Macaca mulatta: one gene and its partners. The protein of the gene in region 1 purifies or fractionates together with the protein of each later gene. This does not show direct contact. Links are inferred from orthologs where the notes say so. Each region holds a gene or a part of one and is shown on either strand. Other genes may lie near its edges. The genes, in order: EIF2AK2, DHX30 and ADAR.

The links.
Region 2: the proteins of EIF2AK2 (region 1) and DHX30 purify together in Homo sapiens (affinity purification with mass spectrometry; 3 studies listed by BioGRID and IntAct, with this or other methods). This does not show direct contact. The link is inferred for Macaca mulatta from reciprocal best matches to the Homo sapiens genes EIF2AK2 and DHX30.
Region 3: the proteins of EIF2AK2 (region 1) and ADAR purify together in Homo sapiens (affinity purification with mass spectrometry; 3 studies listed by BioGRID and IntAct, with this or other methods). This does not show direct contact. The link is inferred for Macaca mulatta from reciprocal best matches to the Homo sapiens genes EIF2AK2 and ADAR.

Annotation. Positions count from the first base shown.
Region 1 is NC_133418.1:87,783,415-87,787,161, forward strand, and holds the start of EIF2AK2 (interferon-induced, double-stranded RNA-activated protein kinase), read left to right. Parts: upstream 1-1,240; 5' UTR 1,241-1,301; intron 1,302-3,747.
Region 2 is NC_133407.1:111,200,872-111,204,618, forward strand, and holds the start of DHX30 (ATP-dependent RNA helicase DHX30), read left to right. Parts: upstream 1-1,498; 5' UTR 1,499-1,685; coding exon 1,686-2,022; exon of another isoform or gene 2,023-2,242; intron 2,243-3,747.
Region 3 is NC_133406.1:112,399,028-112,402,674, forward strand, and holds part of ADAR (double-stranded RNA-specific adenosine deaminase), read left to right. Parts: intron 1-1,529; coding exon 1,530-3,112; intron 3,113-3,647. UniProt on the Homo sapiens protein: Catalyzes the hydrolytic deamination of adenosine to inosine in double-stranded RNA (dsRNA) referred to as A-to-I RNA editing.

The DNA of each region.
Region 1 (3,747 bases):
GCTGGAGTAGATGGCTGCCTAGGTATAATGTTCTTTTTTTTTTTTTTTTTGAGATGGAGTCTCACTCTGTAGCCCAGGCTGGAGTGCAGTGGCACGATCTCAGCTCACTGCAACCTCTGCCTCCCAGGTTCAAACAATTCTCCCTGCCTCAGCCTCCGGAGTAGCTGGGATTACGGGTGCCCGCCACCACGCCTGGCTAATTTTTGTGTATTTTAGTAGAGATGGGGTTTTGCCATGTTGGCCAGGCTGGTCTTGAACTCCTGACCTTAGGTGATCTGCCCCCCCTCGGTCTCCCAAATTTCTGGGATTACAGGCATGAGCCACTGCACCGGCCTAGGCATAATATTTAAAGTATATTTGAGGTCTGTCTTGGGACCACCTCCCTCTCTTATCCCAGCTAAGATATTGAGAGTACAGACTCCTGGTTATAGTTCTAACTCCGCTGCTTACTAGTTGTGTTAATCTAACTCCTCTGTGCCTCAATACTCATTAGTCACTGTGCCAATGACTGTGGAACTCTGTGTGACTCTGGGAGTGTGTCACAGTCCATCAGGTGAGTAGAATTTCTATAAATCGAGGACTACTGGTGTTGGACTATAGTAGGAAACTCCCTGGGGTACTGTAGGGAGCAGGTGGCTCTCTTTAACAGCAGGACTGGCCCGCAGGTGCTTTTACAGCGGCTGACAAGTGTCTGCTCATGAGTGAATGGATGGGTGGGAGCAGAGTGAAGGAGATTACGCCCCCAGGCCTCGCATCCCCAGCCTTGTAAAAGTGAGGGGGCAGTGGTGTGGCAAGTGGGGAGGGGCGCTTTGGTGTTTACAGGCCTGGACTTTAACTGAATCCTGGCTTTCCCACTTACGAGCCGCTGGACCCCTAGGTAAGTTCATTTACTCAATTTCCTCTATTGTAAAATGGAGCTGCTAAGACCCATCTTCCCAACCCCTCTCCAAATATTTGTGTTTAGAGTAAGTGGAACCCTTGATTCCAGAACCTAATGCAGCCAAAGCCACCTGCTCCAGGAGCCCCGGGGCGGGGAGGGGGAGGCGGTTGGGGGTGCGGGGTCCTGGCCGCGCAGGGGCTGCACATGGGTGACAAGCCCGCCCGCCAGTGCCGGCCGCCGGCGCCTCTCGCGCGCACTCTGGATCCAGTGCCAATTTACCCCAATCCCGTAGCAGACGAGGGCTTGTGCGAGAGGGGGCCGGGCGGCTGCAGGGAAGGCGGAGTCCGAGGGGAAAACGAAACTGAGAGTCAGCTCTCCCGAAGCTGCGGATCTCTGGCCGGCGGCGGCGGCGGCGGCGCAGGTGAGCGGGGCCGGGGGCAGCCGAGGGAGCGCAGGGAGCAGGGGCCGGGGGGCCACGGGATAGGGGCTGCGGGCCCAGCCGGGGCGGGACCCGCCGATCCTGCGTCCCCAGCTCAGGACGCGGAAGCTGATCCGAAGCCCCTGGCCCCGGCTGGGTCAGCAATGGGAGAGCAGTCCGAGGCCCACAGCCCGGGTGTGGGGCCCTCCCTGAATCCAGGGAAAGGATCGTGGAGCGGGATGGGGACTGAAAGCCATTTTCTTCCCGCGAAGAATTTTTATCAGTGCAAGTAACAAATAAATAGTAACAAATAACAAATAAACAATAAACAAATAAATAAATAGTAACAAATAAATAGGCAGCGGTTGTGGGGCTGGGTCTAGTGGATGATGAATAGGCCTAGTGGCTTGACATATGGAAAATACGGAGGCCTGAAATACTCATAGACTGGCTGAACAATCTCTGGCTAAAAATCTCTTGCATGGAGAGTTGCAGTAGTTTCCCAATTGCCTGGCCTCGGTTCCTGTTCCCACTCCGTCTCCTTACCCCCGAACCTCCACCCCCTACCTCTTCTACACACCTCAGCAACTGGAATGTTCCTTTAAGTAAGAACCAGACTCTGCCCTGCTCAGACCTTCCCCATAGCTTTCCTGTCTCGTCAGAATCCTATAAACATTTATTAAGGCTCACCGGCAAGGTCCCTTGCACCCCCTACTCCGCCCATGCTAGCTTCCTTGCTGTTCCTGGCGCACAGCCAAGCATCCTCCAGCCTCTAGGCCTTTACACTGGCCTGTTTCTTCTTCCTGGAAAGCTTCTCCCTCAGATACTTGCATGGGGAAACCCCTCCCTTATCCTACACTGCTTCCCATGCCAGCTTATCAGAGCAGACTTCCTCAAACAACCTGCATATGCAAGAAACCCCACTCTGCCCTTGCTGTTCCCCCTTCCACTACCTCAATTTTCAACATAGTAGTTACCACCTGGTGATATCTTTTCTTTTCTTTTTTCTTTTCTTTTCTTTTTTTTTTCTTTCTTTTTCTTTTCTTTTTTTTTTTTTTGAGACAGATTCTCACTCTGTTGCCAGGCTGGAGTGCAGTGGTGCGATCTTGGCTCACTGCAACCTCCGCCTCCCGGGTTCAAGCGATTCTCTTGCCTCAGCCTCCCGAGTAGCTGGGATTACAGGTGCCCACCACCACAGCCAGCTAATTTTTTAATTTTTAGTAGCAACGGGGTTTCACCATATTGGCCAGGCTGGTCTCAAACTCCTGACCTTGTGATCCCCCACCTCAGCCTCCCAAAATGCTGGGATTATAGGCATGAGGCACTGCGCCCGGCCACCCGGTGACATTTTCTTATGGGTTGTTCCTCCACTGGTAATTTCACAATTACCTATAGCAGGGTTCACTAGTATAGTCCCAGCACCTAGTACATAATAGGTGCTGATTAAATGTTTGCTAAATGAATGGTAATTCAAAAACTCCCTTTTGAATTCCAAAATAATGAGGCGTCCTGTTGCCCATGTTTCCTTCTTTCCTTCCTTCCTTCCCTCCCTCCCTCCTTTCTTTTCTTTTTCCTCTTCTCTTCCTTCCTTGTTTCCTTGTTTCCCTCTCTCTCTCTCCCTTCTTTGTTCTTTTCTTTCTCCTTTCAAGATGGAGTCTCACTCTGTCGCCCAGGCTGGAGTATAGTAGCTTGATCTCGGCTCACTGCAACTTCTGCCTCCAGGGTTCCAGTGATTCTCCTGCCTCAGCCTCCTGAGTAGCTGGGATTACAGGCACACACTACCACACCAAGCTGATTTTTATATTTTTAGTATATTTCATCATGTTGGCCAGGCTGGTCTCGAACTCCTGATGTCAGGTGATCCACCTGCCTCGGCCTCCCAAAGTGCTGGGATTACAGGCATGAGGATTACATGGTCCCATGTTTTCTTTAGTACTAAAAATGCCATGCCAGATGGAAGGTAAAAGACAGGCTCTCTGATGTCACTTGGAAATTTAGAATCTTGGGCAGATTATGCTATTGTTTTTCAGTTTGTTTATTTGAACCTGGAGATCCTGAATACTTGACCTGTAGTTTGTTTGTTTGTTTGTTTGTTTATTTATTTTAGATGGAGTCTTGCTCTGTTGCCCAGGCTGGAGTGCAGTGGTGCAGTCTCAGCTCACTGCAACTCTGCCTCCAGGGTTCAAGTGATTCTCCTACCTCAGCCACCTGGGTAGCTGGGATTACAGGCATGCACCACCATGCCCAGCTAATTTTTGTATTTTTAGTAGAGACGGGGTTTCCCCATGTTGGCCAGGTGACCCACCCACCTCGGCCTCCCAAAGTGCTGGGATTACAGATGTGAGCCACCGCCCCCCACCGTTTATTCATTTATTAATCAGATGCTAGTTGAAGGAATGATCTATGTGAAGCAATGTGCTGGCCCTGGAGGGGACTAAGCCTGCAGGGC
Region 2 (3,747 bases), on another chromosome or scaffold:
TACCCGCAACATGCAGATTCAGTCTGATTCCCAGTTGACCCAAAGCCTTGCTCTTCACGGCCATAGGAGGCAGAAGAGGAATGAACCTGGCTAAGATCCAGGCAGAATATTTTGGAAATGAAATCCTATTTGGCTTTCCAGCAAGTGAGGACCAGTACTTTTTTTTTTTTTTTTGAGACAGAGTCTCACTCTGTTGCCCAGGCTGGAGTGCAGTGGCGTGATCACTGCAAGCTCCACCTCCCAGGTTCACACCATTCTCCTGCCTCAGCCTCCTGAGTAGCTGGGACTACAGGTGCCCGCCACTATGCCTGGCTAATTTTTTTAAATTTTTAATAGAGATGGGGTTTCATCGTGTTAGCCAGGATGGTCTCAATCTCCTGACCTCGTGATCCTCCTACCTCGGCCTCCCAAAGTGCTGGGATTACAGGTGTGAGCCACCGTGTTTGGCCTTTTTTTTTTTTTTTGAGACAGAGTTTCACTTTTGTTGCCCAGGCTGGAGTGCAATGGCTTGCTCTTGGCTCACTACAACCTCCACCTTCCGGGTTCAAGCAGTTCTCCTGCCTCAGCCTCCCGAGTAGCCTGGACTACAGGCATGCGCCACCATGCCCAGCTAATTTTGTATTTTTAGTAGAGATGGAGTTTCACCATGTTGGTCAGGCTGGTATCGATCTCCTGATCTCATGATCTGCCCACCTCCGTCTCCCAAAGTGCTGGGATTACAGGCGTGAGCCACTGCGCCTGGTGAGGAACAGTACTTTGACTGCTGGACTTTACGCTGGACCAACTCAATTCTTGGCAGTGTCCAAAATTGGGTATTTTTGCCTTCCCCTCCAGCTCTGGGGATTAAATGTTTCTGCTTATGTTGAAGAGGTCTTCCTTGGCCTGGCTCCAGATCTTCTTTTTCATTTTTTAAACTTTTAATAGAGTTGGGGTTTCTTTTTATTTTATTTTATTTTATTTTATTTTTTTTGAGACGGAGTCTCGCTCTGTCGCCCAGGCTGGAGTGCAGTGGCCGGATCTCAGCTCACTGCAAGCTCCGCCTCCCGGGTTTACGCCATTCTCCTGCCTCAGCCTCCCGAGTAGCTGGGACTACGGGCGCCCGCCACCTCGCCCAGCTAGTTTTTTGTATTTTTTAGTAGAGACGGGGTTTCACCATGTTAGCCAGGATGGTCTCGATCTCCTGACCTCGTGATCCGCCCGTCTCGGCCTCCCAAAGTGCTGGGATTACAGGCTTGAGCCACCGCGCCCGGCCGAGTTGGGGTTTCACTATGCTGCCCAGGCTGGTCAAAATCCTGGGCTCAAGGGATCCACCCGCCTCAATCTCCCAAAGGGTTGGGATTACAGGCGTGAGCCACCACACCCGGCCCTGGCTCCAGATCTTTACCAGGTTTACTTTGTAAGCCATTAAATAAGATGGGGCTGCCAATTTACCAGAGGCACGTGAGCGGTAGTTAGGAACAATTGCTAGGACCTAGAGGGAACTAACTGAAACTTCCTTAGATGACATTGAGCTAAGGATTAGCATTATTTCCCCCCCAAAAGCCCCATTCCATCTTCCTGCCTCCCATCCACATGACAGCTGGTTTGGATTTGCTGGAGAGTGAGCTTGGCAGGGTCCTAGCCCTGGGCCGCGCCGAGCCGCCTACTGAAGGCCCGGGGCTGTGGTGAGCGAGGGCGGGCTGCCGATGCCCTCGCCTGGGCTCGGGCCTCGGGTCCGCCCGGCCCGCAGGGGGCGCGCGGCGCTCGGACCGGCCGCTCCAGTTCTCTTCGCCCGGTCCCTGCCGCGCGTAGGCCGCGGGGTCGGCGGGAACACGATGGCGGCTGCCAGGAGACTCATGGCGCTGGCCGCCGGCGTCTCTCCGCGCCTGCGGCCGCTGGGTCCCCGCGCTGCCGGGCGACAGGGTCGCTCGCGCTGCTTCTCATCAGGCTGCGCCCACCCCGACCGCACCAAGGAGGCCGCCGAGGCCGAGTCAGGGATGGCCCCCGGCGGGCCTGGGGAAGGCGACGGAAGCATGGTGAACGGTGAGGGCATCGGCGGGGGCGGGCGGTCCGCAGAGCCCTTGACTCCTGGGATGGCAGAGCAAGGGACGCGGGCCGAAATCGGGCCTGGCGGCGGGGGGTCCTGTCTTCCATAGTGGCCAAGTTCGCCATCCGTCGGCGCGCAGCGGCCCTGCTCTTTGTAAAGCTTAGCGTGGCACAGGCCCGAATGGACCCTTCGAGTGCCTGCTCCCAGCAAGAATAGGTGAGAGGTTCGAGACCTCGAGGGAGTGGGGAAAACGAGTAAAGTCCAACTCCTGCCAGGATGAGTGGCCAAGGGCTAGAGCTTCTAGGGACAAGCATGCCCTCACCAGTGTGAGAAATAGCCCAAAATAACTCCTGGGACATCAGGATCTCAAATAGAGACAGAACGACCGCTCTGGTGGATTCCAGCTTTGTGCCTCCCAAATAGTGCAGAGAATAAAACTGTTGAAAGCATCAAGGATAGGTAGAGAGTGCCAGCCTTCACCAACCTTATAGAGCTGAAGTGGGCGTGGGGGGGTGGGGGGTCTCAGTGCAGCTCTCTTGTTAAACCAGTGGGTGTAGTGGGCTACTCAAAGTTGGGCCCCTCTGTGACCAACCCCCCCATCCCCGCCCCGCCCAAATCCACTTACATGTGGTTTCTTAACTGCTTGACTCTTAGTTGCTTTACAAGTTACCGCTTAGAGGGAGACAGGATCAGGTGTCCTCCATCCTGGCCACTTGACACAGGAGTCTGTCCCAAGGAAATAATCTCAAACCAGGCAGCAGAGTTACATCAGAATGCTTGGAGGCACTTTTTCAAAATGTAGAGCCGCCTCCAACATCGCTCCCATTCTCTGGTCCCCTGTGGGGAGCTGGATGCCCATGCAGTGAAAAAGCTCCCCAGGTGATCAGTGTACACCCAGGTGCACATGTGCATATCTACATCTCCTTTTGGAGCTGCCTGAGGCTACAGTGGAGAATGATATGGTCCCCCCATATTCCTAGCAGACCTCTTCATGACCTGGTTAAGCCTTGTGTCTGGTACAAGCTTACTCCAGGTAGATATCTCTTCCCTTTCTGCTCTGGGATTAATCCAAAAAACAAGTGAAAAGAAGCAAGGTACCTCTGATGGTATCTGATGCATCAATTTTCCCCTTGACTCCAGAGAACTTGGGGGAGGAATAGTTCATGCCTGCTCAGATATAGAGGTTTTCTTTTTTCTTTTTTTGAGATGGAGTTTCACTCTTGTTGCCCAGGCTGGAGTGCAGTGGCGTGATCTTGCCTCACCACAACCTCTGCCTCCCGGGTTCAAGCGATTCTCTTGCTTCAGCCTCCCAAGTAGCTGGGACTACAGGTGCCTGCCACCAGGCCTGGCTAATTTTTTTTTATTTTTAGTAGAGACAAGGTTTCACGAGGTTTCACTATGTTGGCCAGGCTGCTGGTCTCGAACTCCCGACCTCGTGATCCGTGTGCCTTGGCCTCCCAAAGTGTTGGGATTACAGGTGTGAGCCACTGCGCCCAGCCAGATGTAGAGGTCTTTAATCAGTCCCCCCACATAGTTTGGTTCTGTGGGAGCCTTTTGCAGTGTGCTTAGATATGGTTGAGAGCTGGGGCCTGGTATTCAGCATCTGGATCTCATCACTTGAGATACATGGGGCCAGGTCTCTCTTGTGTGTGTCTTATTTTAGGAAGAGCCTTGCATTGTCTTGATCTCCAGTTTGTGTGTGTGGTGGATTTTTGTTTTTG
Region 3 (3,647 bases), on another chromosome or scaffold:
ATTGTGTGAGGCTGTTTTTGCGCTACAGTGGCAGAGCTATCTGGCCCTTTATAGAAAAAGTTTGTCAGCCACTGTAAAAGAGTTGCAGGATTTGAGGTCTTGGTGTGATGGCCTAGGTTACAGTCATAGTGAGATTGAAGGAGTAGCTAGACAAGCCAATTGTGTGGCAGAAAGGTAGAGATGGAGATTACTGGGTTAAGGATCCCTGTAGCCAGGGCACCGTGAGAGTGATTGACAAGAATGCTAAAATCCCCTAAGTGTGTCAGGATGTGGAAGAGTAGAAGGCTAGAGTTATGCAAGAAAGGGTCCCAGCTCTACCTGTGCAGCCTTCAGGAGAGTCTGAGGAGGGGGTGGTGAGTGTGAGCAAATGTTGCCAGAATCTCTTCTCCCAGTCTGCAAGCCCCAGGGACAGGAAGCAAGGTATTTACTGACACCCCCAGGCTTGTAAGTACTTCTTGGCTCCATCACCCTCCAATGAACAGCCCTGGGGAGAAGACAGTACTGGTTTGCAGGTGGGTGGGTGGGGAAAGGGGTCACAGGTGCTCGGTGTTGTGGTAAATGTGCAGATGAGAACATGGAGTTGCTTATGCCCTGTCCGTCAGGGTTCAGAAGAACATGCGGTGGAAGCAGCTATGGGGAGGTAGCTAGGGAAGGAGGGCTGGTCTGAGGTGGTGAGGAGCAGATGCTGCCAGCTCCACACATCCAGGAGAGCCTGGGTGGTTTGGGCAAAAGTCTCTGGCATCCCTTCTGAGCCTGGGTACCACACTGAAGAGTGAGGACAGTGTGCCATTTTTATCAGGAAACCCTCCAGCTCCCTGAAAATGGAATTCTGATCCTCCCGGGATGGCAGTGGAGAGCCACAGAGATGACTCTCAGGTCCCGTGGCCTTTTCCCACCTGGAGGTTGTTTTTGTTACTGCACTGTTACAGCCTTGGAGGACTGGGGTTCAGTTTGATCCAATCAGATTTATTCTTTTGTCATAGTCATCCAAATGATAGATCTTAGAGACAGGTGGGCGGAGGTGCACTAGCTGTGCGCTAGTGAGCCCAACTCAAGGAGAGGTCATCTCGTCCCTTCCCTAGTCCCCTCTCCCTTGGTTATTTCATGTGATTGTACTGGTTATTTCAGGTTTCTGTTTTTGTTTTCAAAACAAAATAACATTTGTTTGTTGTTCTAATTTTAAAAGGGTAATTGTTTTGACTAGAAAATTTCCTTCTCAACTCCCTTAAATTCCATCAAAGGGAAAAGTAAGTTAGGTTGCTGGAGAGGCTATGCTGAGGCCTCAGAACCTCTGTGCTCCTGGAAGCTCTGCGGGCTTTGCTTCCTGCCCCCCTCTCCGTCTTCCTGTTGGCAGGCCCCTAGGCAGGTTTTAGGAGGTAGGCAAGTCACCCTAGCTGAGTCATAAGCCCATGGCTCAATTGCCTTCTCAGCCCATCAAGGGCTGTTCCACAGGCAGCAAAGGGAGGGGCCTCCACAGGTTCACCACTGCAGCCCTAATTCATTTTCTTTTCTGCTGTCTTATTCTGCAGGGGTATTCCCTCAACGGATACTACCCCCATCCATTTCAAGGCTATGAGCACAGAAAGCTCAGATACCAGCAGCCTGGGCCAGGATCTTCCCCCAATAGTTTCCTGCTTAAGCAAATAGAGTTTCTCAAGGGGCAGATCCCAGAAGCGCCGGTGATTGGAAAGCAGACACCATCACTGCCACCTTCCCTCCCAGGACTCCAGCCAAGGTTTCCAGTACTACCTGCCTCTAGTACCAGAGGCAGGCAAGTGGATATCAGGGGTGTCCCCAGGTGCGTGCATCTCGGAAGTCAGGGGCTCCAGAGAGGGTTCCAGCATCCTTCACCACGTGGCAGGATTCCGCCACGGAGAGGTGTTGATTGCCTTTCCTCACAATTCCAGGAACTGAGTATCAACCAAGATCAGGAACAAAGGATCTTAAAGTTCTTGGAAGAGCTTGGGGAAGGGAAGGCCACTACAGCACATGATCTGTCTTGGAAACTGGGGGCTCCAAAGAAAGAAATCAATCGAGTTTTATACTCCCTGGCAAAGAAGGGCAAGCTACAGAAAGAGGCAGGAACACCCCCTTTGTGGAAAATCGCGGTCTCCACTCAGGCTTGGAACCAGCACAGCAGAGTGGTAAGACCAGACGGTCATAGCCAAGGAGCCCCAAACTCAGACCCAAATTTGGAACCTGAAGACAGAAACTCCACATCTGTCTCAGAAGATCTTGAGCCTTTTATCTCAGTCTCAGCTCAGGCTTGGAACCAGCACAGCGGAGTGGTAAGACCAGACGGTCATAGCCAAGGAGCCCCAAACTCAGAGTCGAGTTTGGAACCTGAAGACAGAAACTCCACATCTGCCTTGGAAGATCCTCTTGAGTTTTTTGACATGGCTGAGATCAAGGAGAAAATCTGCGACTATCTCTTCAATGTGTCTGACTCCTCTGCCCTGAATTTGGCTAAAAATATTGGCCTCACCAAGGCCCGAGATATAAATGCCGTGCTAATTGACATGGAAAGGCAGGGGGATGTCTATAGACAAGGGACAACCCCTCCCATATGGCATTTGACAGACAAGAAGCGAGAGAGGATGCAAATCAAGAGAAATACGAACAGTGTTCCTGAAACCGCTCCAGCTGCAATCCCTGAGACCAAAAGAAACACAGAGTTCCTCACCTGTAATATACCCACATCAAATGCCTCAAATAACATAGTAACCACCGAAAAAGTGGAGAATGGGCAGGAACCTGTCATAAAGTTAGAAAACAGTCAGGAGGCAAGACCAGAACCAGTAAGACTGAAACCACCTGTTCATAACAATGGCCCCTCAAAAGCAGGGTATGTTGACTTTGAAAATGGCCAGTGGGCCACAGATGACATCCCAGATGACTTGAATAGTATCCGCGCAGCACCAGGTGAGTTTCGAGCCATCATGGAGATGCCCTCCTTCTACAGTCATGGCTTGCCACGGTGTTCACCCTACAAGAAACTGACAGAGTGCCAGCTGAAGAACCCCATCAGCGGGCTGTTAGAATATGCCCAGTTCGCTAGTCAAACCTGTGAGTTCAACATGATAGAGCAGAGTGGACCACCCCATGAACCTCGGTAAGAGACCACCCAGGACTGTACCTAGGGTTGGGGTCAGGTGCTCTTGCTCCTGACGCAGTCTTGGCTAGTTTGTGAGCAGTGCCATTTGGTGGCTCCTATCTTTTCCTCCTTCCCTTCTGCCTTTTAGCTAAATCCCCCTTGATTGGCCCTTTCTGCAGATGTTGAGCAGGGAATATAGACCTTGGACCAGCCAGAATCTTGGCTGAACAAGGGGGAGGTTGACTCTGTTGACTGTAATGAAGCTTCTTCAGAAATGATTGGTTTTGGCCGTATGCGGTGGCTCATGCCTGTAATCCCAGCACTTTGGGAGGCCGAAGCAGGCATATCACGACGTCAGGAGTTTGAGACCAACCTGGCCAACATGGTGATACCCTGTCTCTACTAAAAATACAAAAATTAGCCAGGCGTGGTGGCACGTGCCTGTAGTCCTAGCTACTCAGGAGTCTGAGATAGGAGAATCACTTGAACCCAGGAGGCAGAGGTAGCAGTGAGCTGAGATTGCACCACTGCACTCCATCCTGGGCCACAGAGC